Daphnia pulex: one gene and its partner. Each later gene encodes a partner of the first gene's protein in a complex. Links are inferred from orthologs where the notes say so. Each region holds a gene or a part of one and is shown in the gene's direction. Other genes may lie near its edges. The genes, in order: N6-adenosine-methyltransferase non-catalytic subunit-like and pre-mRNA-splicing regulator WTAP-like.

What was found.
Region 2: N6-adenosine-methyltransferase non-catalytic subunit-like (region 1) and pre-mRNA-splicing regulator WTAP-like share a complex: the UniProt entries of both Homo sapiens proteins name them as parts of the WMM complex. The link is inferred for Daphnia pulex from reciprocal best matches to the Homo sapiens genes METTL14 and WTAP.

The regions. Positions count from the first base shown.
Region 1 is NC_060026.1:13,575,837-13,588,077, reverse strand, and holds N6-adenosine-methyltransferase non-catalytic subunit-like, read left to right. Parts: upstream 1-6,960; 5' UTR 6,961-7,090; coding exon 7,091-7,124; intron 7,125-7,183; coding exon 7,184-7,293; intron 7,294-7,361; coding exon 7,362-7,651; intron 7,652-7,711; coding exon 7,712-7,928; intron 7,929-7,988; exon of another isoform or gene 7,989-7,992; coding exon 7,993-8,202; exon of another isoform or gene 8,203-8,262; coding exon 8,263-8,435; exon of another isoform or gene 8,436-8,495; coding exon 8,496-8,742; 3' UTR 8,743-8,805; downstream 8,806-12,241. Other genes in the region: DNA topoisomerase 2-like, read right to left, coding at 461-804, 875-1,212, 1,283-2,058, 2,130-2,656, 2,722-3,016, 3,082-4,275, 4,343-4,717, 4,783-4,929 and 3 more; ABC transporter G family member 20-like, read right to left, coding at 9,077-9,384, 9,456-9,632, 9,701-9,789, 9,849-9,919, 9,994-10,109, 10,165-10,342, 10,404-10,614, 10,684-11,069 and 3 more. UniProt on the Homo sapiens protein: The METTL3-METTL14 heterodimer forms a N6-methyltransferase complex that methylates adenosine residues at the N(6) position of some mRNAs and regulates the circadian clock, differentiation of embryonic stem cells and cortical neurogenesis.
Region 2 is NC_060020.1:5,266,098-5,278,377, forward strand, and holds pre-mRNA-splicing regulator WTAP-like, read left to right. Parts: upstream 1-5,217; 5' UTR 5,218-5,333; coding exon 5,334-5,484; intron 5,485-5,557; coding exon 5,558-5,682; intron 5,683-5,788; coding exon 5,789-6,209; intron 6,210-6,444; coding exon 6,445-6,767; 3' UTR 6,768-6,973; downstream 6,974-12,280. Other genes in the region: protein turtle-like, read left to right, coding at 1,300-3,190; uncharacterized protein LOC124193179, read right to left, coding at 4,084-4,151, 4,227-4,403, 4,465-4,815, 4,893-4,962; uncharacterized protein LOC124191909, read left to right, coding at 9,250-9,253, 9,356-9,774. UniProt on the Homo sapiens protein: Associated component of the WMM complex, a complex that mediates N6-methyladenosine (m6A) methylation of RNAs, a modification that plays a role in the efficiency of mRNA splicing and RNA processing.

The DNA.
Region 1 (12,241 bases):
TAAGCATCAACAATGCACGTGGCGCACTTTTTTATGGAAAAAACCTGCTCGGTAATTCTTTTCGAATGTTATTACATTCGATTCGATACTTAAGGTAGTTATTGTCTCGTTTAAAAAAAAAATCATTTCTAAGTTATCTAGCAACTCCTTTCATGTACATCATAATAAAAACGAAACATAAAAAATCAAATCGAATCACCCAAATTAGAAGTAGCAAGTGATTTGCTATTAATGAAGTAATGAAGCTTTGTCAAAATACATTCTCAAATTATCAATTCCAATAACTTAAAAATCCCAGTTGGACAAATGGTGGTTTTTATTTATCAGTATGATGGCCAAAATGGAATTGAATAATAAATGAGGAAACAGCACATACAGAGTAAGTTGGCTTAATGAGGGGGGATTGCGCAATAGGTAGTTTCGAGTTGAACGTGAATTCTAGCTATTGGAAACGCATTTATTAAGAATCTTCGTCACTTGAGAGAGTAGCGTACTTGACGGCTTTTTTGGCTCGAACGGTAGTTGCACGAGGCCTGACCTCAAAGCTGCTGTCGTTGAAATCATCGGAAGAGTTGGCTTTCTTTACAGGGGATTTAGAAGAAAACATGTCTTCATCCGAATCGGAATCCTTGCGAGACTTCTTTTTGGGTGAAGACGTCTTCGGCTTGGCTTTGGCAGCAGGTTTAGCTGCTTTGGCGCCGGCAGCTTTGGGGGCAGGTGCCTTTTTGGGTTTGGCTGGACCACCAGCTTTCGGTGCCCTTCCACGGCCTCTTCCTTTCGGTTTAACTTCGTCGTCTTCGCCCGCTAACAAATAAAAGAAACAGTTTGTTAGTTAATGTAAAATTTTCTTTAATTTTTATTAAAATCGTCATACCTATCATGACGATATCTGGAGAAGATAGAGGCTCTGGTTCACGTGCCGATTTCACAGGTGATGAGCGGACTAATGAATCGAACAATTCATCAGAGCTAACATTTAGCGAAGCAGCGTCTTTCTTTGGCCTTTTAGCAGCAGACATGTCATCATCTGAACTGACGGGTCGCGCTACTTTTTTCTTGGCAACCGTTTTAGGCTTTGCAAAGTCGAAATCTTCGTCCGAATCGCTGATTATAAGGTCGGAATCATTATCGGAAGCTTTTCCTTCCTCATCAGAATCATCGTCAAGAGTGAATTTAGCGGCAGCGGCGGCGGCTCGGCGATTGGTTCTCTCTCTGTTAGAAAAAGTTTACTTAAATCAATTCTTTGTTCAAAAAAAATTTTAATATAAAAACGTGTTTTTACCTAAGAGGTACGGCTTTTTCCAATGCCAGGTCGAATTCGTCTTTATCTTCGTCTTTTTCAGCATCTTTATCACCTTTCTTGGTTGTGAAACTCAGCTTGGTCTGCTTAAATCCGTCATTTTTGCCTCCTTTCTTTCCTTTTGCTCCTTTGACTGGGCTAACCCCTAATTTTTCACCCAAAGACTTGTTTGAGTCATCGAGAGCAGCGTCAAACGAATCTCGTTCAACTTCAGGACTTTCTTTTTTCAGCGCCTTTTCTTTCTTCTTTTCTTTGGCGATAGTGAGCTTTTCAATCTTTTTGCGCAATTCATTATCGATGACTGGAACGATTCGCCGACCTTTAGGAGAAGGAGCAACTTCAGCGATTAACGCCTTCTTCCTGCCTTTCGCCAGTGGTGCAGCTTTGGTTGGTTTTTTGTTTTCATTCAACTCTTCCTGCTCAGCATCTTCAACCTCCTTTAACACCACCATAAAATGATCCAGATCTTCCCGCCACAAATCAGCCGGCGATTTTTTCAAGAGGATGTCATATTCCTTCATCTTGATATCCCGTTTCTTCAACAACTCTTCTTTCTTTTCGTAGGTAAGAGAGCGCATGGGCATGTCAAGCAAGTAGTCGTAGTCGCCAATTTTGACAGCACCTTCTTCATTCTCCGCATTGGTTTCTTGCTCCTCTTCGTTCTCCGCATTTATGTTGTTTTTTTGATTCTTTTTCCAGATACGAACTGGATCTGGATCATAATTTCTACGACGCAATTCCTCCACCAAAACTTTAGCCTACAGATGGGAAAAATAACGAAAATATTTTATGAATAAGTTCAAATAAAAACGTAATAAATCCTGCTAACCTTTTTGTTCTCGACAATCAAGACATTGTCACATTTCTCGCAAATGAATCTGGCTTGATTTGAGAGCCTTTGAGACTCAGCTTGAAGTACACCGGACAAGTAATCTTTTCTTTTCCCATAATATCCAAGACGGACAGTGAAGAATTCTTTCAAAATATCTTCAACTGTGTCGTACATCTTGAGACAGCCATTAGAGTCATACAGCACCATGGATGTCAGGGAGTGTGTAGTCTGGAGTTTAAAAGCCTTATGCAGTCCCTCGGCTTCTGCCTGTTGCATCTTTTCTTCCGACATGGTAACGATAAATCGCACAGTTGTATCCGTATGGTATTCCTTGTAGTCAGTGATAAGGGGCGGGATTTTCTCTGAGCCGTGCAACAAGGTCTCCATTACGGATTCCTTGTAGTTTTGAGTCCAGACACGTAGAGGAAGTTCCGTAATTTCCATTTCCGTACCGCTCAGAACTGCTAATTCACCGCTGATAGCATATCGGTGGCGATCAATCCTTTCAATAGTACCCCTGTAACCTGAATAAGTAATAAATATAAATTATTTTTCTTGGTAATCACTTTTTTACATTCCACTCAGTTACCTTTGAACCACGGATCCATAGGGATGGGTTCTTCGCCGTCTAACATCCGCTTGACATTAGCAACGACCTCTCGTGGATTGTAATTCAGAATCTTTGTCATCCAACCGGTACCGATTCCGTCAGTTCCGTTGACCAAGATCATAGGAATAATCGGAGCATAATATTCGGGTTCGATGCGTTGGTTATCGTCCATTTGATGTTTCAACAATGGATCATCGTGTGGGTGAAAAATAATGCGAGTCAGCTTGCTCATCAAAGTGAAAATATAACGAGGGCTGGCAGCATCTTTACCTCCCTGTCGATAAAAAAAGGAAGAGGTTAATAAATATCGTCAGGCACAAATTCTTGGGGAAAAAATACCTGGAGGCGAGTACCAAACTGGCCATTGGGAAGAAGCAAATTGATATTGTTGGATCCGACGAAGTCTTGAGCCAAACCAATGATTGTGCCCATCAAAGAAGCCTCGCCGTGATGGTATGCCGAGTGCTCAGCTACAGAGCCAGCCAATTGGGCGACCTTGATCTCTTTCTTGTCATTTCGCTTGATGCAAGTAAAGAGGACTTTACGTTGCCCAGGCTTGAAACCATCCATGAGTGAAGGGATGGATCGTTCGTTGTCCATGTTGCTGAACAGCACCAATTCCTTGTTGACGAAGTCACGGTAGCTTACTCGTTTGGTGTCTTTTTCGTACAGATAAAGCTCAGGCAGTCCAAGTTCACGGCGCCTCTTGCACTCCTCCATCCAAGAAGTTAGCCACTCTTTGCGCTGTTCAATGTGCTTCTTGCTGAAAGCCATCAAAATAGCGTAGTCATCTTGGTCTCCATCGTGGTGGAAGAGAATTCGATGTCGCTGCATGTCGGAAAAGTAACCTTTTGCTTCTTGGGACGTCGAAGTTCCCAACCCCTTGTAGTACTTGATACGATAGGTAGGCCAGTTCTCTGTATTGGTCTTCCATTCTTCAAACTCGGGCAACGAGTAGAAGCTTAGTGACTTGGCTGATGCCCCTGTTCCTTTGGTGGCTTTGACAATGGGTGTGATGAATTCTTCAAGGAAGGGTAAGCGCAATAGTGATGGCCAATTATGGTGCAAGAAGTTGATGAGCAGGCCTTTAATGTGAGAACCATCCTGATCCTGATCAGTCATGATCATTAAACGACCATAACGAAGTGATTTGAGATCTTCAACAGACTCGTATTTCTTCTTGTACTGCAATCCAAGGATCTTGATCAAATTGTTGATTTCGGCGTTCTCCAGAATTTGTTTATGTGTGGCTTCCCGCACATTGAGCACCTTTCCTTTGAGAGGAAAGACACCGTACTTGTCACGGCCGACCACACCAAGACCAGAAACAGCTAGGGACTTGGCTGAGTCTCCCTCAGTTAGAATGAGAGTGCAGTCGATCGAATGTTTTGTGCCAGCATTATTAGCGTCTTCTAGTTTGGGGACGCCCTTCAATTTTGTTTGTTTCTTGCCACTACAAGCCTTGTTCAATTCAGTTTGCGCCTTAAACTTGGCCCAGGTCATTACACCTTCTATAACGCCAGACTTGTTGAGCTGCAAAGGAAAAAACATTTTATATATACATTAAGAGAAATAACTTCAATTATTTTTGTTTTCTTACCGCGTTAAAAAACTTTTCGCTAGGTTTGCAAGTGGAACCAAAGCTTTTGGCCTGGAGAGTCATGTTTTCCTTGGTTTGAGAATCGAAAGTTGGGTTGACGATTAAACAGTTGACGAAAATCCACAGGTGATTCTTTATCTGATGAGGTTTGACATTAATGCCACTCTTGTTTTTCTTTTTAAGAAATTCCTGCAAATATTTTGATACGATCTCAGTAACGTAGTCAACGTGTCGCCCGCCTTTAGTAGTTGCGATTGAGTTTGCGAATGAAACTTGTTGGAATCCTTTGTCGGAAGGAGCTACCGCAATCTCCCAGCGTTCACTAACAGCTTCATACACACATTTAAGTTGAGCTCCATCATCATCTTCTTTACCCTAAATTGAATAATATGGTAAGCTTGTTTCTTTATTATAATCAATGAAAAATGTATCAACAATACCTTCAGACAGAGATCAACGTAGTCCTTGAAATTCTTGATAGGAAGACGTTTGCCGTTAAGGAAAACTTTCACGCCACGAGTTGAAGCGGCTACATCAAAAGCACGGCGAGACAGAAGAGCAACTGTGTCCTTATCCAGGGAATCCATCTACCATAAAACATTGAATGTAATTTTTTTATAGGAATAAAATTATACCAAGATGTTTACTTTGAACTTTGCCAGATCAGGGGAGAAAGTGATTTGTGTAAAATCTGCTTCATTGTAGTTCACGATCTTGGGAGTTCCAGCTTTAGTCATGTTGTCAGTCCAGGTTTGCTTGAATTTTTTCTTCTCATCTTTAGATGCTGTTTCCAATTCAAATGAAGTGCTGAAAATGTTGCACAGTTTTGCACCATAACCATTTCGACCACCAGTTACTTTTTCTTCTTCATCATTGTAGTTGGATGAAGTAAGTAAGTGGCCAAAGATCAGTGAGGGAACATACATCTTTTCTTCCTTGTGTTCCACAACAGGAATGCCTTTTCCATTATTGTAGATCGTGATGACATTTTCTTTCCTGAAAGAAGCAGAAACCACGATTAAAAAAACTTATAACACACCAGCACATGTTTAAGCTTACGGATCAATGTCGACTTTAATGGTATCCATCTTGGAGTCTCTGACTTTGTTGTCTGCAGCATTGACGAGAATTTCATCAAAGATCTTATACAGTCCGGGTACGTAAGTAATTTCTCTCTGGATCATTCCAGCATCTTCTTCATAAACCCACATGACATCTTTAACAGGTTCCACTGATCCAATGTAGGTATCAGGCCTAAGCAAAATGTGCTCAAGCTGACTTTTCTTCTGGTAAATTCTTTCGACTGAAAGTCTCTTGTTGGCTCCATTCTTCTTGCCAGCATCTCCATTCGTGGCAGCCTCAGATGCAACAGTACCTTTGTTCATTTTTGCAAACAAAGACTAAAAAAAAAAAAAAACAATATGTTAGATCACACTTCACATCAAGAATAGTAAGACGTCACGTTTTGGATCACAAAATTTCTTTCAAAACATTCATGTTGTAACCTTGAAAGCATGTGAGTTTCATTCAACAACTACCTTTAATGGCCCATCAGAAGCCATCCTTGGCGAAAGTATAAGCTTAAAATTCGATAAAAGGGACAGAATGGCTATTTGCCTAGGAAATTATACACTATGACAACCACTATAAAAAAACGCCGTTTAAAATACTGTCGACGCGTCGAGTGAAACTGAAATTTCGAAGCGACTTTTTTCGAACCAACGGAAACGTTGAGTGAAACTACAACGTTGCCACTCGGTACCGCCAAGTCAAAAAAATTTATTTGTTTCTCATTGGTTGTTAGAGATGTCTAAAGGGGTTGGGAAACCCCTTACTGTTATACTGTTACATTACATTGGTTTTTTTGGTACAATGATTTAATTGATAAATTAACACTTGACAACACAAAACAAGCTTACCTTTTCCTGTTGACTTTAAAAAGCCAAAAAATAAGATTGTCTGCGACTCAGATGAGTACTTGTGCTTTAACAACTTTGTAAATTTGTGAAGAAAGCCGTACTACTTTGTGAATAAATAGAATCTAAAACAACGAAAAGGTGCTTTTTCGATCCTTTTCCGTGTAGAAAAACTCTCAAACCATGCTGGTTGAGCTCTAATGTAATGTCTTTGATTGTTTCGCTTCAGTTTAGAGTGAAAAGGGCGCGTTTCTCTCAAAGATTCGAGACACTGACGGTACCTCTCTGCTCACTTTTAACACAGCGTGTAAATTTTGCCCTTGGTAGATACTAAACAGCAACAATGAGGAATCCCGCTGATCGCTGATGTGCCGAAAACGAGCCGAAACATCTTTGCCGGAGCTTGCTTTTTCTGTAATATTGTGACATGCAGATATTCAAATGTATTCAGTTTGCATACTTTTTAAAATTTTAATATATTTCAACTTGCAAATGACTTTCGAAATTTTAAATTTTTGAGTTTTGAAATACCGGAGTTCGGCCATGGTTAATTCGGCCGCTGACGGTTTCAATTAATTAATCAATATTATTTTAAATCTTATTTTAACCGATAGAATTCAAATTAAGTGCTTTGATATTTCATGCTTGCAAGTATATTTTGCCCTTTTCATCAAATATCGAAACAAGACATTGATTTACAAGCGGCAACTAAGGTAAATAATAATGGCGGACTATTGAATGGTTAGGGTTTTTAAATGTTTTGATATGTTAAAGGTGTACTCCACAGTCAACATTGAGCACTGTGTCGGTATTTAAGCATTTGATATCTATAATGGCAAATTATGTGGATAATTCCAGTGTACAAGGTGAAATCAATTTAAGTGGCTGAATCAATACAATCTGTATCACTGCCTTCTCCCTTTAGCAGAGACAACTGTCACAGAAGAAGAAAACTCTCTTAATATGGATAAAGTGGACCTTCTAAAACAGAGAAGAGAATTGTCCAGAAAACGGAAACAATGTCTCGTACAGACCGTGAGTATTTATTGTGCTTTAGTTTAAAAATTCACATTTTCAATCTTAGCTTACGTTTTTTTAACCAGTTGGGAATGCAGTCAGTGGAGAAATTGAAAGAGGCATTGGGAAGTGGCACAGATAGTTCCAAAGCAGAACCAGGAATGGAATTACTTAGACCTTCAGAGAAATACATAAAAAAGAATGCTAATGCCGACGGAAGTCAACAAGACGAAGAGACAAAACTGCTTTACACTGATTCGTCAACCTTTCTAAAAGGAACACAGTCTTCCAACCCTCACAATGATTACTGCCAACATTTTGTTGATACTGGACAGAGACCCCAAAACTTTATAAGAGATGTTGGCTTGGCTGATAGGTAAATGATTGGGCAAATCTTCCCTAAAGCAATTACCTACTAAATTAACCATTTTTATAGGTTTGAAGAATATCCCAAGCTCAAGGAACTTATTCGGTTGAAAGATGAATTAATCGCCCAGACAGCTTCGCCTCCCATGTATCTGAAATCCGATTTAAAAACGTTTAATCTCAAAGACATTGGTTGTAAATTTGACGTGATCCTCATTGAACCTCCTTTGGAAGAATACCAGCGTTCTTTGGGTGTGACCAACGTCGATTTTTTGTCATGGGATCAGGTAAATATATATTGAACCACAATATAATGAATGATTGTGAATTAATGGTTCTTTTTCCGCTTAGATTATGGAACTCGACATAGGTGAAGTTGCTGCTCCTAGGAGTTTCATATTTTTGTGGTGTGGTTCCAGTGATGGACTAGACTTGGGGCGTGTGTGCTTGCGCCGATGGGGATTCCGGCGATGCGAAGACATTTGCTGGATAAAAACCAATGCAGACGCTCCGGGTCATTCGAAAAACCTCGAGCAGAAAGCCGTTTTCCAGCGAACCAAAGTAAGACCATTTCAATTTCGTCTAACCAAATGCTTTTACTGATGTACTGATTTTGAGTAGGAGCATTGTCTGATGGGAATCAAAGGAACAGTTAGGCGTTCCACGGACGGAGATTTCATCCATGCCAATGTCGATATCGATTTGATAATTACGGAAGAACCCGAGTATGGATCTCTGGAGAAACCGTCCGAAATTTTCAACATCATTGAACATTTTTGTCTTGGCAAAAGGAGGTTAGGAATTTATTTTTACGGTCACTTCATTAGAATTTTAATTAATAATTAATTTTTAAGGCTCCACTTATTCGGGCGAGACAGTACTATTCGACCGGGTTGGTTGACGGTTGGTCCAGCGTTAACAAACAGCAACTACAACGCAGAAACATACGCTGGCTACTTTAATAGTAACTGTACGACTACCGGATGCACAGAAAGGATTGAAGCTCTTCGCCCTAAATCTCCTCCACCCAAAGGCAGCAAAGGGGCAGGAGGTGGACGCGGAGGTTTTACTCGGGGCGCAGCGCGTGGCAGGGGAAGATGAAATAAGCATTACTTAATTAATTTCTAAGGCATTAAATTGCAAATAAACGTTTTGAGTTTTCAATTCTGTTTTGCAACACTTCGAAAGTTAAGATAAAATTGTGTAACGCATTTAAGGAAATGACGCGAATAGATGATTCTGTTTAAATTACAAAACAATTTGATAACTTTATTGCCATTGGTATCAGGCAAAATTAATATTGTTTGGTAGAGTTAGACAAAAAATTGACAGCTATTTGTTAATTCAGAATAGGTTAAATGAACCGTGGCATACTTGTTAATACGAATAACTTACGAATTGGAAATTTGATTCACTTATAGATGGACCGGCTGTTTTAGCTCGAAAATTTGCGGTAGCGAATAACTGTCAACGTCAATATCGTCAATCCAAATATCCATGCAAAGCTTACTAAAAATCCCATGTAGACATCAGGCATTTCAATTCCCCAACCGCGGGAAAGAATACTTCTCAAACACTCGATGCCATACGTGACCGGTAGGAAACGGGCAACCTTTTGTAATGCCGGAGGCATCCCTTCTACCGGCCAACAAATGCCTCCCATCAGTAAAATCGGGAGAAAATTGGCTTGCGTCAGGTAAAGTGCTCCGTTAGTGTTATCGCAGATGGCAGCGGTAAACATACCTATTGAGATTTAGACAAAATGTATACAATCATTTAAATTTTTTAAAAGAATCAACTTTTTCGTTGTATACCAAAGCATATTCCAATGAATCCTTGGAGGAGGGTAATGAGTAACGCCAGGGCCACACTACCGTGGCAAGGTACTTTGAACATCAGAAACATGACCACAAAAACTGCCGACGTTTGGCAAACCGTGATGCAAAACTGAAATCCAACGTGACCAACAAAAATGTCGACAATTTTCACGCCTGTGGATAGAATGACCCATTAATGAATTACAACGGTGATGAATTGCTTTCAATATCGACGTACGCACCAGCCACTAAGCTACGATCAACGAGACCTTGTTGTCTTTCACCGACAAATACACCGGTAATAAAAACAAGCGACGATGAGTAGATAATTCTAAAAGGATAGAATTAGTTTAAAGAAAATTATGTGCGAAATTCAGTGAACAGACTCACGCTATAATAAGGCCGGAGGACATGGCCTCAGTATACTGGGTATCTTTTCTGCCGTAAACTGGATCTGTAAACTAAAATAAGAAATAGACGACAATTAATTGAATTGTACGAGATGTTATGAATTAATAATCAAATTTGTTTCTACCTCGATAGGCATGTAGCCCGCCTCTGGCTCATGCCCACAAGCTATCAATAAACCTCGGGAAAAATCCCGAAAAGCTTCTACAAGCCACTTGTTTAAAAACGCATCGATTTGTTGATCTGAAAAACCACGTAAGAAAATATTTCCTTATCATTTTTAAAAAAATTAACTCACTAGAAGAATCGATGTTGATGCTAATTCGACTGCGTAAGATATTATCCAATTTTGCCGAATCGCCAAGAGACTGTCGAATTTCATACTCCTCTGTAAAATTCTGTCCGAAATGGATGACACCCCAAACTTCACCATTTCTTCCGGCTTCTAAAGCTTCCGATACATTATCGTACGGAATCTGAACATTGCCGAAAGTATCGTAATTTTATTTAGCTTAAATTTTTTACAGAAAAGTCTACCTGAATAATATTGTCATTGATGTACTGAAGGTAGCGACAGCTGAGCATGGAATACGCGCAATCCATCGTGTTATTGATGCAAACGCGTCCCTGGCTCAGATTCAGTTCATCATTGACGATGGCCATCTTGAGGTAAGTGGGCTCTCCGCCGAGTGTAACATTAAACAGGGCCGTTTGGATAGCAGGCAAGAAAAATGATACTAAAAGTATCCTTAAGTCCCAAAAATAATTCGGTTAATATTTTTAGTGAACTGGTTAATTTTATGCAAATTCTATATACCCAAAATTCCGAATCATCACCAGGGCATTTTTCCTTAAAAGTACACCAATGAAATGAGGTGTCGGCAGTGAAGATTTCAAATTAAAACTTTTACGTTTTCTGGCAACACTTTTGATTTTGTCGCCTTTTTCATTCGGCGTTCGTTTTCCGATTTTATTAGAAGCTTCCGCGCTACTTTCTGAAGGCTGAGGCTCAATTTGAGTTTCGACGGGAGCCGCTTCATTGGAACTCGTTACATCTTCAGCCAATTGTTTGTCTGAACTTCTACTACCGTCCTTCAAGCTAACCTGTAGGAATACATCCTCCAACGAAGGGAGTCCGTAATCCCTTATCAAATTTTCCGGCGAATCTTCGACTAGAACACGACCGCCCCGCATCATTCCAATCTTAAAACACAGAATAACAATTGATGATTAGATTCACAATCTTTTAACAACTCTCATACCGTGTTAGCTTGTCTTGCTTCTTCGATGTAGTGAGTCGTGACGATCACCGTTTTGCCATGGTCAACACTTTGGCGGACAAGATGATTCCAAATGCTGCGCATTGTCAAATAAGAAAATTTGAATGAATGAGAATAGCGATGGGAAATTGAACAAAATTACCTGTGCCTAAGCAAAGGATCAACGCCAACTGTCGGTTCGTCCAAGATGAGCAAATCAGGTTCGTGAAACAAAGCGACGGCGAACGAGACGCGTCGTTGCTGTCCGCCACTCAGCGTCTTGACGTAACGATCACACGAGGGTAGATCCAATAACTTGGACAGAAACTTCAATTGCGATTTCACAAAAGTCGCTTTCAATTTGTAAAGGCGGCCAAAGTATGTCAGTGTCTCCTTGATGGTGAAGTCGCCGTACAGTGCCAATTCTTGTGGCATGTAGCCAACCTGCGGTCCGGGAATTCCGCTTTTAGGCGATCCCGGTTCGTGTCCTAATACTTGAATTTCTCCACTGTTTAAGGTACGCAAAGCGACGAGACAACTTAAAATGGTAGTCTTGCCACAGCCACTGGCTCCCAGCAATCCGTATCTATAACAGTTAAATTTGATTGCTTTTCAAATTAGAAAATTCGACGGAATCTTTGGCCAAATCTTTTGTTTTCACAATTTTCCCGAACAAAACTAAATGAAATGCCACTGAAAATAAAAAGATAAAAAATAATTGTTCCATACATTGATCCTTTTTTAACGGTCATGTTTAATCCTTGAAGAACTGCGCATTTGTTACGTCCAGATCCGAAGGTCTTGGTCGCATTGCGGATTATAACACTGTTGACACCAGAATCACTTGGGTTGTCGTTTTCATTATTAATCCGGTGTGACGAAGCGAACACATCCGCCATTTCTTCGATAATCTCTTCCGTCATGTTTCTGAGAATTGTATTCCTGTGATGCAAATTATTCAACAGATAACACAATCAGAAAATTAATGAAACGAGAATACGACACGATTAAAACATGCGAGATGCAACAAGCGAGATTCGGCTGTGGCAGCTCGGCTGCAATTGACTACGTTTCTCGAGATAGGGGCCAACTAATTATGAATGAAGCTGAACCAAA
Region 2 (12,280 bases), on another chromosome or scaffold:
GTAAGTGTTGCATTAATTTTTCTTCTTCATTTATTTGTCTTAGTTGAAAAACAAACAAAAAATTATTGAAAAATTTCTGAAACGCTAAAACTACTCCATCTTACTAGCAGTGTTCAACTAATAGATTTCTTGTTCCTTGTATGTGAAAGTGCGAGAAGTGATGAACTGTGAATAGCGTATAAGACAAATTGTTTAGATAAAGTCGTCAGCAGTACGTGTGGAGGAATCCAGCAAAAAAGCCAAGTGGTTTGACCTATCCTAATGATTTCTGTAGGCTCTCGTCCGAGCTCTCTTCCTCCGAGGCAAGCATCTTAGCGACTACTATAGCTAGTCTGATGCTCAACCGTAATAGCGTAGCGAGTCATCGTAAGAATTGCTCATTAATTTACCACTGGGATCCTTCCGATGCCGCACATTTGGTTGACTGTATTCTATACCACTGCGACGATCTGACCCGACCACTTGGCGGCACAACTTCTTTCAATCTCATTCACTGGAATACCGTGTGCAAGTTCACGTGTTATCTTCTCCTAATCAAAAATGGTGTTGGGTTGCTTCCGAGAACGATAATTTAAAAACAAAACTAGTCTTTACTTCTGAGTCTTGCTAGCTTTTCGTTGGATTGTACCTATTCTGATGTTTCCTCTGTATTCTCTTTTTTCTCATGCTGCTCTTTCTGGTACCTAGGAGGAAAGGTGAGCGACGTTTCATTTTTCGTCTCGATGTCGTTAAAGCTTAAGAGAGATTGACCAATTGCATGGCTTAACTTACATGCGATGTACTTTAGAACGAAAGTATTAATATGGCTATTGCAAGTTCAACTTATAGTGGTGGGTGAAATTTCACCCACGACTGTACTTTACCTATCGTGCACCCGAAATTGTCATTCAAGCCTAATTGTTTCATTCCTGCTAAAAGTTGCGATTTTACACCACGTAGTACTGTCTTTCAGAATTATAAAACTCCCTATCAAAGAAGGAAAAACAAATTGAATGACGGTTTGATGTGTGCAAATATCAACCAAGATGAATATACTTGTTTGCTAGTCCTTTCGGAAAACCATTCCGCCACAAGTTTTTTTTTATTTTACAAAAAGCATGCTATTCGACCCGCACTCGATATCACTCGCCAGCGAATGTTCTCCGGAGGCTTTCGGAAAACTTTACGTTTCAAATTTGCCAGTGCCGTCAAGTTATTAGACGACAATCAACATTCACTTTAATAATCTTGAAATACCCGAGTCTAATTCATGTTTTTGCATTCTTTGTTTTGTTTGCTATGTGGTTGATGTCATCGCAGAGGATGGATTGGCCGACTGCCCTCTATAACGCGATTGTCACACTTGAAGCGAGGAGCAGCTTCTATCCGCCACGTTCTATACATTTGTCCAATTGAGCTGCCGGAGCAAGATCACGAAACGGGAAGAACGTCGGTAGCAACGAGAACAGGAAACTTACCGCTTGGAACAGGAACGACTACCACTGATGCTGACGACTGGCTTGAGTACGGCGCGGCTGAGTTGCAAACGCGAAGCACTAGACGACGATTGGAGGCTCGATACAACGTCCAGGCCGAATTTCTCCAACCAGCTGGATGGATTTCTCGAACACCAGAGGGCAAGTTCGTGGTTGCCGATGAAGGTGCTCGGCAGATCCATCCAACTTACGGCTCCTATTCACCAGCTATAAGTCCCGTTGTCGAAAGTGGAGTTTACCGAATAGGTGGCGACCGACTTATCTGGCCACGACCGAAGCCAATTTTACGCAGGGAACTAAGCCCTGTACCACCTACTAGTGGTATATTGCCGGCTATGATATCTCCACCGACTAATTATCCGTTAGCCATGTCATCCCATCCAACAGTAACTTCTCCCCAATTCGGCCGACACGCAATCCCGTCGCAGCCGTCATCTCCTCATCATTTGATACCTGGCAGTCGCCAAGAAGCGATTAGATCTAGTTCACCAGGTCCGGGACTCCTACTATCCCCCTCTTTAGCAAACTTTAGCGACATGAGTTCGGTTCGTCATCCTAGCTCAGCAGAACGATCTTTGCATACCACATTCTCGTCTCGCCTTTCCTCTTTTCAAAAGCAACAGACACCAGACTTACCTCCGCGTCAAAACAGGCTCAACCGTTTTTTCCCATCTGCTGTCGCTCTCTCCTCCTCCGTAACGCCAAATAATAACTACATCCACGAGCTTCCTGCCCTTCTACCGATTCATCAGCAGCTGATTGTCCAGCAGTCACCCAGACGACAAGTCTCACCTCCACTAGAGACGATGCGTACTGTTCGCGCCGAAGTCCATTCGACTGAGACACCTCGCAGTGGGTCAAAGCAACGTGTTCAAAACGAGTTCGGCTTGCTCCTGAATACCGCCGGAAGGCATTTTCACGCTCCACCTCCTTTTCGACCGCCACCGCCACCGGTTTATCATCAACTTCCGTATACAATTTCATATCCGTCATCGTTACAGCGGCCACTGGCAACAAGTTCGCCACCACGAAGTCGTCATTTCCCTGAAGGTGCTGGTCCCTTTCCCACAGGAAACTATCCTCGACGTACCGCCGATCTTCTTGGTTCACCCAGGCGACGTTCACCGCTAACAATAGCAGTTCGACTGAGTCCATCTCGGACGCAGCAGCGAATGAGTGAACGAAGCCGTAGTCAAATAGTTGAGTACTCTCCCCAAAGCCAATCGAGTTCGAGCGGATTCGATAGTAAAAACACATCGCAACAAAATCAGAGTTCACAGTCTGGATCCGGACAATCACAGCTCATGGCTACTAACTTCTCTTCTTCCACGCTATGGGGAACGTCTCCACCGAGCCAAATAACTTCAGGCGAATCTACTTACGTCAACTGGCCCGTCAAAGCACTGGCCACGCCTTCTCTATCTCTGCTGGATGCGAGTGTCGATAACCACTACGAATTCGACACGACGCAAAGTCCAAACGAGACGGGGCTACAGGATTCTACGCTTCATACGGCTACTTTCATTCCACCCACGACAACTAGAGCTGTTGATCTATCCACAGATTCCTCTGGACCTGGACCAGGACGCCATAGAAAGGTTGGGCCAATACCGGCACGGTCGGAAAACATTGAAGCTAGGGTTCAAGCCATGAAGGAAGAATTTCAAGAATATCGGAAACGAAGGGCTCGCGGACTACTCGAAAGTGCGTGTTAACTTGTGGTTCTTAAATAATGACTGAAATTAGTGCTAGTTTTTTTTTAAACATTGAATGCCAGAGACAGGAAAGAAAACGAATACTCATTACTTTCAAATTACGCTTCATTCCGCGATCGCTGCATTCCGCATCCTATTCCTCCCAAGTCTCAATTCGTTAGCTATTTGATTATGAACGTATACGTTGTGTGAATGATAGCGTAAATGTGTGCATGCGACTTGTCGTGGTGAGTGTGCTAAATGCACTATTTATCGTGAAGAGATTGATTCAGCAGATAAGAAAAAACATGTATGAACTAAATGAATGAATGTCATCGAGTAGATTTCCCACTGCCAGTTGCTACTGTAATTAAATTCCAGAGAAAATTCATTCTTGTTCAAATTCATCTATTATCTGAGTCTTGATTATTCAACTTCATGCGTAGACAATTAGAGACAGCAACATTCCCATGGAAGATAGAAACTCTGTGGTAAAATTCGTAAACATGACTCGCTCACTCCTACGATTCATTGCTTGCTCCTTCGATTTAGCGCACTTTCTCATTGGATTCTCTTATCAAACTGTAAATCCAATAGACATTTGTCAACCTCGTCTTTGATTATGTATATGCGTGCAAAAATGCGACTCAGAAATAATCTTGTATGGTGTACTAAACATGGAATCATGATGTGCGAGTGTCATCCTAGATTAAGAATATTTCGTTTCATGCCAGAATCCTGTTTCTTTATTAAAAACAGAAACCCAAATGAATGGTTCTGTAATGTTTGTCTTACTTGGTTTCTTCCAGTACAAATTGGAGGCTTGTCTCACCCTTCACATGTGTTTTAAGTCATTTATTTGAAACACCTCAGACATTTTTTTTTTGCACAACTTTTCAGCCAAAACACATAAATCAAGAAACTACCCATCGCATTTTACCAGACAATGCCTGCTTCACTCTGGCTTGTTCAATATCCTTGACTGAAAAAAAAAAACAAACAAAAATATATATATTAATACGTTTTTTTTCTGGCTTCATAACGACTTGGGTCTCACTTGATTGTCGTCGGTTAGATCGACCGTACAACATCCTATGACGAAAATCCTTTGGAACACTGGAGCCTGGTTTGGAAAACTTATTTTTCCACTTCCTTGATTCAAGAACTGCAACACTAAAGTCAGATGATTCCACTTCTCCCGTTTCCAATGGGATGTAATGTTCTTTTTCAAACCCTAGTAATTGTGCAATTTATGAGACAACAGATCATTTATTTTAAAAGCTATCGAAAAATACTTATATGACCACTGGAGGCATTCCCAGATTTAGTTCTCTTTCTTTGCTTTTTCTCAGAATCTTGTTGAGATTGTTGTTGAACAGGTTGAGCTGAAATGACGTCCACTAAGTTATCAGGTAACCTTTTTGAAGCCAAAGACTGAAGGGTTTTAGCTTTCTGTTCTTTCATCAATGCTTCTTTTTTCTGTCTTCGTTTTTTTTGTTCTTCTTTAGTTATGCGTTTGAACTGTTCCTCTGCTTTAAGTATTGAAAGAGCTGCAACTTTTGATTTACTAAAGGATACATCATCAGGAGCTTCATCTGAATCTGACGCAGAGTCATTTTCTTCAACAGCTAGATTTGTTTCATCTCCTGGAAAGAAAAATAAACACTTTGTTGTAACGAGAAACACACAAGTTCCATCAAAGGAATTAAAAGAAATGAAGTACCTGCTGGTATGTTGAAAACCAAATCGCTGTCTTCTGGATCTGGGCAATATTCATACTGCACCGAAGCCATCTTATTTGTATTAAAAAAAAAGAACTTTTATTTTCCACGTTGTGCGAGTGAGACGGACAAGGACAACCAGACATGTGTCAGTACTCAGTAGCAGACAATATTCCGCGTTATTACAAGAATTTGACTAAACTGCGGGTTTACGGACATACCGATGGTAATGTGCGGGGTTAAAAGAAGAACTACTGCTTCTGGTGCTGGTGGGCTGGGGGCTGGCTGGGGGTGGGAAGGTACTTCGAAACTTTTCTGAATACACAGTTGCATTCACAGCAGAGGGATATTGCATTGTAGCCGTAGCTATCATCAGATTTTGAAATTGAGTGGAGACAAGTGTTAATGATCATCGAGCATCAAGCTGTAAGCACGTTATAATAATGGGTGAAGTGGAACGATGCTCTCCTATTAGAGTTTTATTAACTCATGAAGAATTAGTTAATCTTGACAAATCCCAATTACATCAGCAATGGATGAAGCAGGAAAACTACATTAATTGGCTGGAGTCACAGCTATCAACTGCTCAGAATGGTTGGCTTATTTTCTACATTCATACCAGTTTCTACGGTAGCTTATTTGTTTCATTCATTTAAATTACTATCAGCATTGACTCCAGTACGAGAGTTTGAAGAAAAACTTAAACATTCAATTTCATCTGAATCTGGAAGAAGGGAAAATTTTCTTTTAATGCGTTTGAACTCTAAAGAACAAGAAATTCAAGATCTAATAGTAAGTTTAATGAAAATGTATTTGATCAAAATGAATGCAATCACATTCATCTTAATGAATTTTCAGAATTACTGTGCCATTTACTTATTTTCACAAATTATGACAGGTCCAAATTCAAGAACTGAAATCATCACAAGCTGGTAACTCAACATCCTTGAGGTCATCACTGTTAGATCCATCAGTCAATGTTCTAATCCAACATTTGCGTAAAGAGCTTGATAAAGCTAAATCAGCATTTGAAGAAACTCAAAATGAACTGAGCGCTTGGAAATTCACTCCAGACAGGTTTTTCTTTATAGTAGTCTTATTCTATCTTAAGTTACTAACAGCTCACCTCTCTATTCTAAATTTTATTGTTGAAAAAACTTATAGCAATACTGGGAAACGTTTAATGGCGAAATGTAGACTACTTTACCAAGAAAATGAAGAACTAGGAAGGATGATTTCCTCTGGCAGGCTGGCTAAATTGGAAGGGGATTTAGCTCTTCAGCGAAACTTCAGTGAGGAGATGAAGAAATCTCAATCAGGTGAATTAATTTTGTTTACTATATTTCTTTAATTTGATTAAGTTTTGTAATAAGAATGCCACAGTTATGAAATTTGATTTGTTTTTTCTGTCTCAAATGAAGGATTCATAATTTGTGAATTGATTCGTTTCTAGAACCAAAACTTGTTTTCTCAAAAGTGCCTGAATCTTATCATAATTTAAATGTACTGTACTGACTTATCTTTTAATTTTAGCATTTTATTTTTATTTTTCAGAATTAGATGAATTCTTATTGGAATTGGATGAAGATGTTGAAGGTATGCAATCAACTATTTATTTTCTACAGCAACAGTTGCGCCAAACACGGGACCAACTATCTGCAGCTCAAAAAGAAAATGAACTTCTTCGTAATACCAGCACAAACACGGCCAACACAGGCGCAGATGAAGAAAAATCCCCGGTAAACTCTTCTCAATCGGAAAATCAGTTAAACGAAAGGATGTGCGAACCTTCTTATTTGCAGTCGAACTCTTCTCATCTTATGAATGATAGTGATCGGTGTAATGGCCCTCTTCAGCCATCTTTTCACAATGACTAACTATTACTTTAAACTTACCTTTCGTAAAACGTCAAACCTGATTCGATTACGAGTAGTTGGTTTTAATTTTCGTGATGGATTTTCATCGTTTATATCGGGTCTTGGACATATTGTAATCCATTATTTTTTTTTGTGTAGACTTGATTTTTTTATTGCCAATTGTAGTGTACGAGTAAGTTAATACGACGAGTAAAATTTTCTTCAGATCAAACAGCCTTATTATACACTGCGATTGAAGCTGCAAAATTAGTAACAGTTAGTTATAGGCTCGTATCCTATAACTTATTATCTTATATTTCCTATTATTATTATTTCCATTTATTATCCTACATTTTTAATTATTATGATTTTCAATCGTGCCGAAATTTTGATTCGATTTTTCGAGTTTTTTGGGCATATGAGAGGATTGTTGAGAGGATGTTATATTGGTTTTTCCCAGTATGGCGTCATATTCTTCCAAATTTTGCGCGATTCTTTAGTCATGAAGCTTAAATGGCTAAATAGCGATATCTGAAATAATAGATCCTAGCCACCGGTTTTTCTCTTTGGAGCACAAATTCATCGCATAAAAAGCCATTCGGGAAATCGTATGTGTGTGTGTGACATATACGCATTCTCGTTATGAACTTTTTATGAACAAAGTTCTACTAATGAATCGTGGTATTTTTACGATTTCATAAATTAGACTTTACAGATGTAATATCTCACTTTCTAATAATAATAGAATACCTACAATTCGTCAATTCCAGGTAATAAAGTGCGAGTGTGCGACGTGGGGTGGCAGGGTGAAATACCGTCTCGAGCAACTCATCGAGCTTTTGCTAAAATTTCTAAGTGTTTCAAGTATATAAATGAAGTTCAGGACTGAATCTGATGTGATTTAAAGTTTTTTTTATATTGGTTTCTTTTTATTTTATCTTTAGATTTTTTAGTTCCTTTGTTGGATTATTTATCGCGATTTCAGAAATCGCGCCACATTGGTTCATAATTCGACCGCTGAATTTGAATTGGCATTGTCATGACATCGTAACAAGCATCTCAATCTGGTTCTGGAGCGTCTGACTCCCTCCTGAACAACGTGGGAATGTTTACACAAGTGTAGGCGTGTAGGATGTAAAATGTAATCGAACTTCTCACGCTCTTGATTGGGGAAATATTGATATGGTTATTTTTGGTTCCTCTCGTGCCGTCGTTGTCTACGATTCAAATAAGTTATGTGTCTTGCACAGTGCTCCAGCTACCCGAACCCGACTCAGCATCATTCGACTACCCAGCCAACTTGAACTACCCCAGGCCAGCTCTCAATGCAGCAGGGAGTTTCTTGAGGACGACGAGATCATGATTTAGTGAGGAGAATATGTTGTGAGTATCGAGTATTTTTCTTTTGTCTTTTTTTTGTTATTGTTAATTCAATTCATTGTGGATTAGTGTGGATTAGCTAGAACAGGCAACCTTCGATCGTTTTTCCTGGTTTTTCAGCTGTCAAAAGCACCAACTTTAAATACTTTTATTTTTCTTATTTCTAAAGTCATTTATTGGAGTTATTGTGCAAAATTATTTGGGGTGATATTTGACCGTAAGTGCTACAAAGCTCACTTGTTAGATTTTTGATAATTTGCGTTTATATTTACTTCCGATTTCTAAATCAGTTAATAGCTCAGTAAGTTTTCATGTGACACACAAATCAACCCATTATTCATGAATCGTGATCCTCGTCAAATTTGGGGTCGATTTCATTTGTTAGTACAAAATGTCGGGAAATCGTCAACAATCGAGAATTTTCCTGATTGCACTTACGTCTGGTACGAATGTTGCGTGACGAAACCTCTCTTCAGTGTTCACAATCTGTTGGATCGATCACACAATATTGGCCTCTATGTAATTGATCATGTGTTTGTAACTTGGATAAGATTGCAGAGGAATATTTTCATAAAAGCCGACTGTCCTTCAAACGGTTCAAAATGGAAGTTTATTCATTCACCGAAGAAACGAGTCAAATTATTCAAATTTCCATTGGTATAAAGAGAGTTTTAAGCTATAACCATTTAAGTTTTAACTTAGTATTCATTTTGATATTGGTTGTTGTAGACCCATTCCCAGCAACGACAACCTGCAGAAGGAAAGGCACGTAAAACTTGTCATGCAGAGGTTGGGTGAGAACGACACGTGTTACATAACCATTTGGTATTCATTTTGATATTGGCTGTTGTAGACCCATCCCCAGCAACGTCAACCTGCAAAAGGAAAGGACAGTCACACTCGAAGGTCACGGAGAAAAACGTGTCATGCAGCGGTGTAGGAGGTTGGGTGAGGACGGACTTTTTGCATCATTATCAAACAGGTACAACACCCGCAAGGCTTTAGAGGTGAGGGTGAGAAAAAAAATCGTATAAAAGGCGAGAGAAAAGGCGAAGGGAAATCAGTCGAGGGAGCATCTTCGACACGGCAACAACTACAGCGCTCTGTCTGTCAGTTCGCATCCATGGGTAAATATTCTGTCTTTTACATAGAGTTTGTTATCAATCCTTCTTTTGTTTATGTATGCCTGTTATTATGTAATATTTATGTCAACATTTATAATTGTCTAGCAAACTATGGCGTAGTGCTGCTGTTGTGTGTTGAATCATTGATGGCTGGGTTGACCACTGGTGTAGCGATGTCTCCTTGGTATGGCGGATACCAAACTGCAACGCCACCGCCTTACTACCCAAAAGCGACTTACGCAACGACCAGTTACTGCACCGAGGTCTTCAAGTACTACACCGTTAAAGCACCGGACTTGAATAGCACAACTTACGCTGCCCCGAGCCACTACACTGACGGCGTGAAGTATTACTGTGCCCCGAGTTACTACACCACCAAGGCGACGGAGGATGACTACGCATGCTGCCCCATCCTCCGAGGCTCATACACCGAGGCTCCTAAGTATTACTCTGTTCTCATCTACATATTGTACCGATTTTCAATACTACTCTGTTCCCAACTGCTACACCAAGGCTCCCGCTGATTACTACACCGAAGCGGCAAAGTACTACTCTGCCCCGATCTACACAACCATAACTGAGGCGGCCAAGTATTACGCTCTCCCGACCTACTGCTCAGAAGCTGCTCTTTCGTACTACGTTGAACAGGAATACTACACTGATGCTCCAGTTCACTACACCACGACCTACGCTACACCGCAGCCCCAAGTACTACACCGAAGAAGCCGCCTACAACAACGTATGCTGCCTAGTACACTACACCGAGGCTCCCAAGTACTACGTCACTAAGGCACCGGAATTCTACACGTGTATGTATCTACCCCTGCCTACTACACCGAGGTCCCGCATTACTACAACACTGAAGCGCTCAAGTACTACACTACAACCTGCGCTTCCCCGAGCTACTACACCTACGTCCCGAAGTATAACTGTGCGTAAAAGGAGTCTTCAAAACAAAAAAGTGCCCGAACTGCAGTGCCCTATCTGTCACCAACTGCTTTCCTCATCGTGTAACCGATTCGCAATTATGGGTGAATATTCTTATTTTTACACTGAGTTTTGTATCAATTATATTTTTTTCTATTTGGTAATATGCCTGTTAAAATTAGTCAACTATGGCGTCGTACTCCTGCTGGGTGTTATATCATTGATGGCTGGATCGACTGCTGGTGTAGCGATGTCTCCTTGGTATGGCGGAAAGCCGGAAACCAAACCGCAACGCTGCCGCCTTCCTACTCAACTTACTGCACCGATGTCTTCAAGTACTACATTACCAAAGCACCGGAGTTTTATACCACAATTTACGCTGCCCCGAGCCACTACACTGATGCCCTGAAGTATTACTCTGCCCCGAGTTACTACACCATCTAGGCGACGGATGACACCACATGACTACGTATACTGCCTATCCTACTACACCGAGGCTTCTAAGTATTACTCTGTTCTCAGCTACTTATTGCACCGATTTTCCTAAATACTACTCTGTTCCCAGCTGCTACACCGAGGCTCCCGCTGATTTCTCCACTAAGACGGTCGAATACTACACCGAAGCGGCAAAGTACTACTCTGCCCCGATCTACACAACCACAACTGAGGCGGATAAGTATTACGGAGTCCCGACTTGCTACACCAAAGCTTCTCTTTCGTGCTACGTTGAACAGAATTACTACACTGATGCTCCAGTCTACTACACCACGACCTACGCTACACCTAGCTACAACACCGCAGCCCCCAAGTACTACACCGAAGAAGCCGCCTATTACACAACTACGTACGCTGCCTACATCGAGGAATTTAAGTATTACCCTGCTCCAAACTACTACCAAACTGAAGTTCATATTTATTGCAATTCTCCCGATTATGTCACCACTACTCACGCTGCTCCGACCTTTACACCGAAGTTCTGAAGTATTTCTCTGGATGTGTTGAAAGATTGCTGAAATACAAGATTGATAAATAACAAGTCTGTCTATTTTCACTTATGTACCTTTCCTGCTGCTGATAATTGAATGATGTGAGAAAATATTTTGAGTGCTATGTAAACTTACAAATAATTGCTCTTGCATAATACAACAATGAAAATTCAAACTCATGTTCTACATTTCAATATTATTCAGACTTACCTTTTTATAAATTATTTTTCTATCATTAAAATTCAAATCAAACAAAGATTAACAACCTATTTTTCTAAAAATATCAATCATCCACCCTATTATTTCTGCTAAGTCCAGACTTTTGTTTTTGAAAAAATTTTTAAAAAAATTCCCCTTACACTGTTTTTAAAAAATTTTTGCGAAAAATTTTACTCGAATATTTTATTGCAACAAAATTTATTTTATTCGAATATTTTATTTCATACAAAATTTATTTTATAAAATTTACATATTTATTTTTCCTGTGGCCCCCAGGGGGGGGGGCCTGTCGCTTTCTCTACCGCGATAATAATATGATGCAAGTTATATGCAAATTATTATTTGTTTGGCGCAGAAAGCTTGTTTAATCTAGCAGTTCTCGACTGTGTCAAACCTGATATTGATCAGGTTGCCTCAGTCGTATACTGCATGATTGAGTGAAACTCGAAAGACAACAGATCAAACTTATAAGTCAGCACACAGTTAACACAGAGCAATTTCATGGCATGGATGAAAACGACAACACAAAAATTTTGAAGTCAGGAACCCAGATGGAACAGCTCAGCTACAACAGCACAGCAACTTCTGGATTACACTGCAACCGCATGCTGCATACAACAGTTCAATCTGTCTTCGTCACACCTTTCACCATTTGGCTGCAACAAGATGAACAAAGAAGTGTTTGTTATACCTGTTTAAGAAAAGAAAATTATTTTCGAGAAACACAACTGTGTACACATGCATCCTCATTAAACAAAAGAATACAAAGAGTAACAGAAAACTACGCAGTCCAACAGAATAACTTTGATATCTGATTCAAATTTGCTATAGTATCGGAGCAAATTGGTCTACTCTCTAGTCATGTTAACTAAATCTGTAGTACTTTTGCAAGACAGTT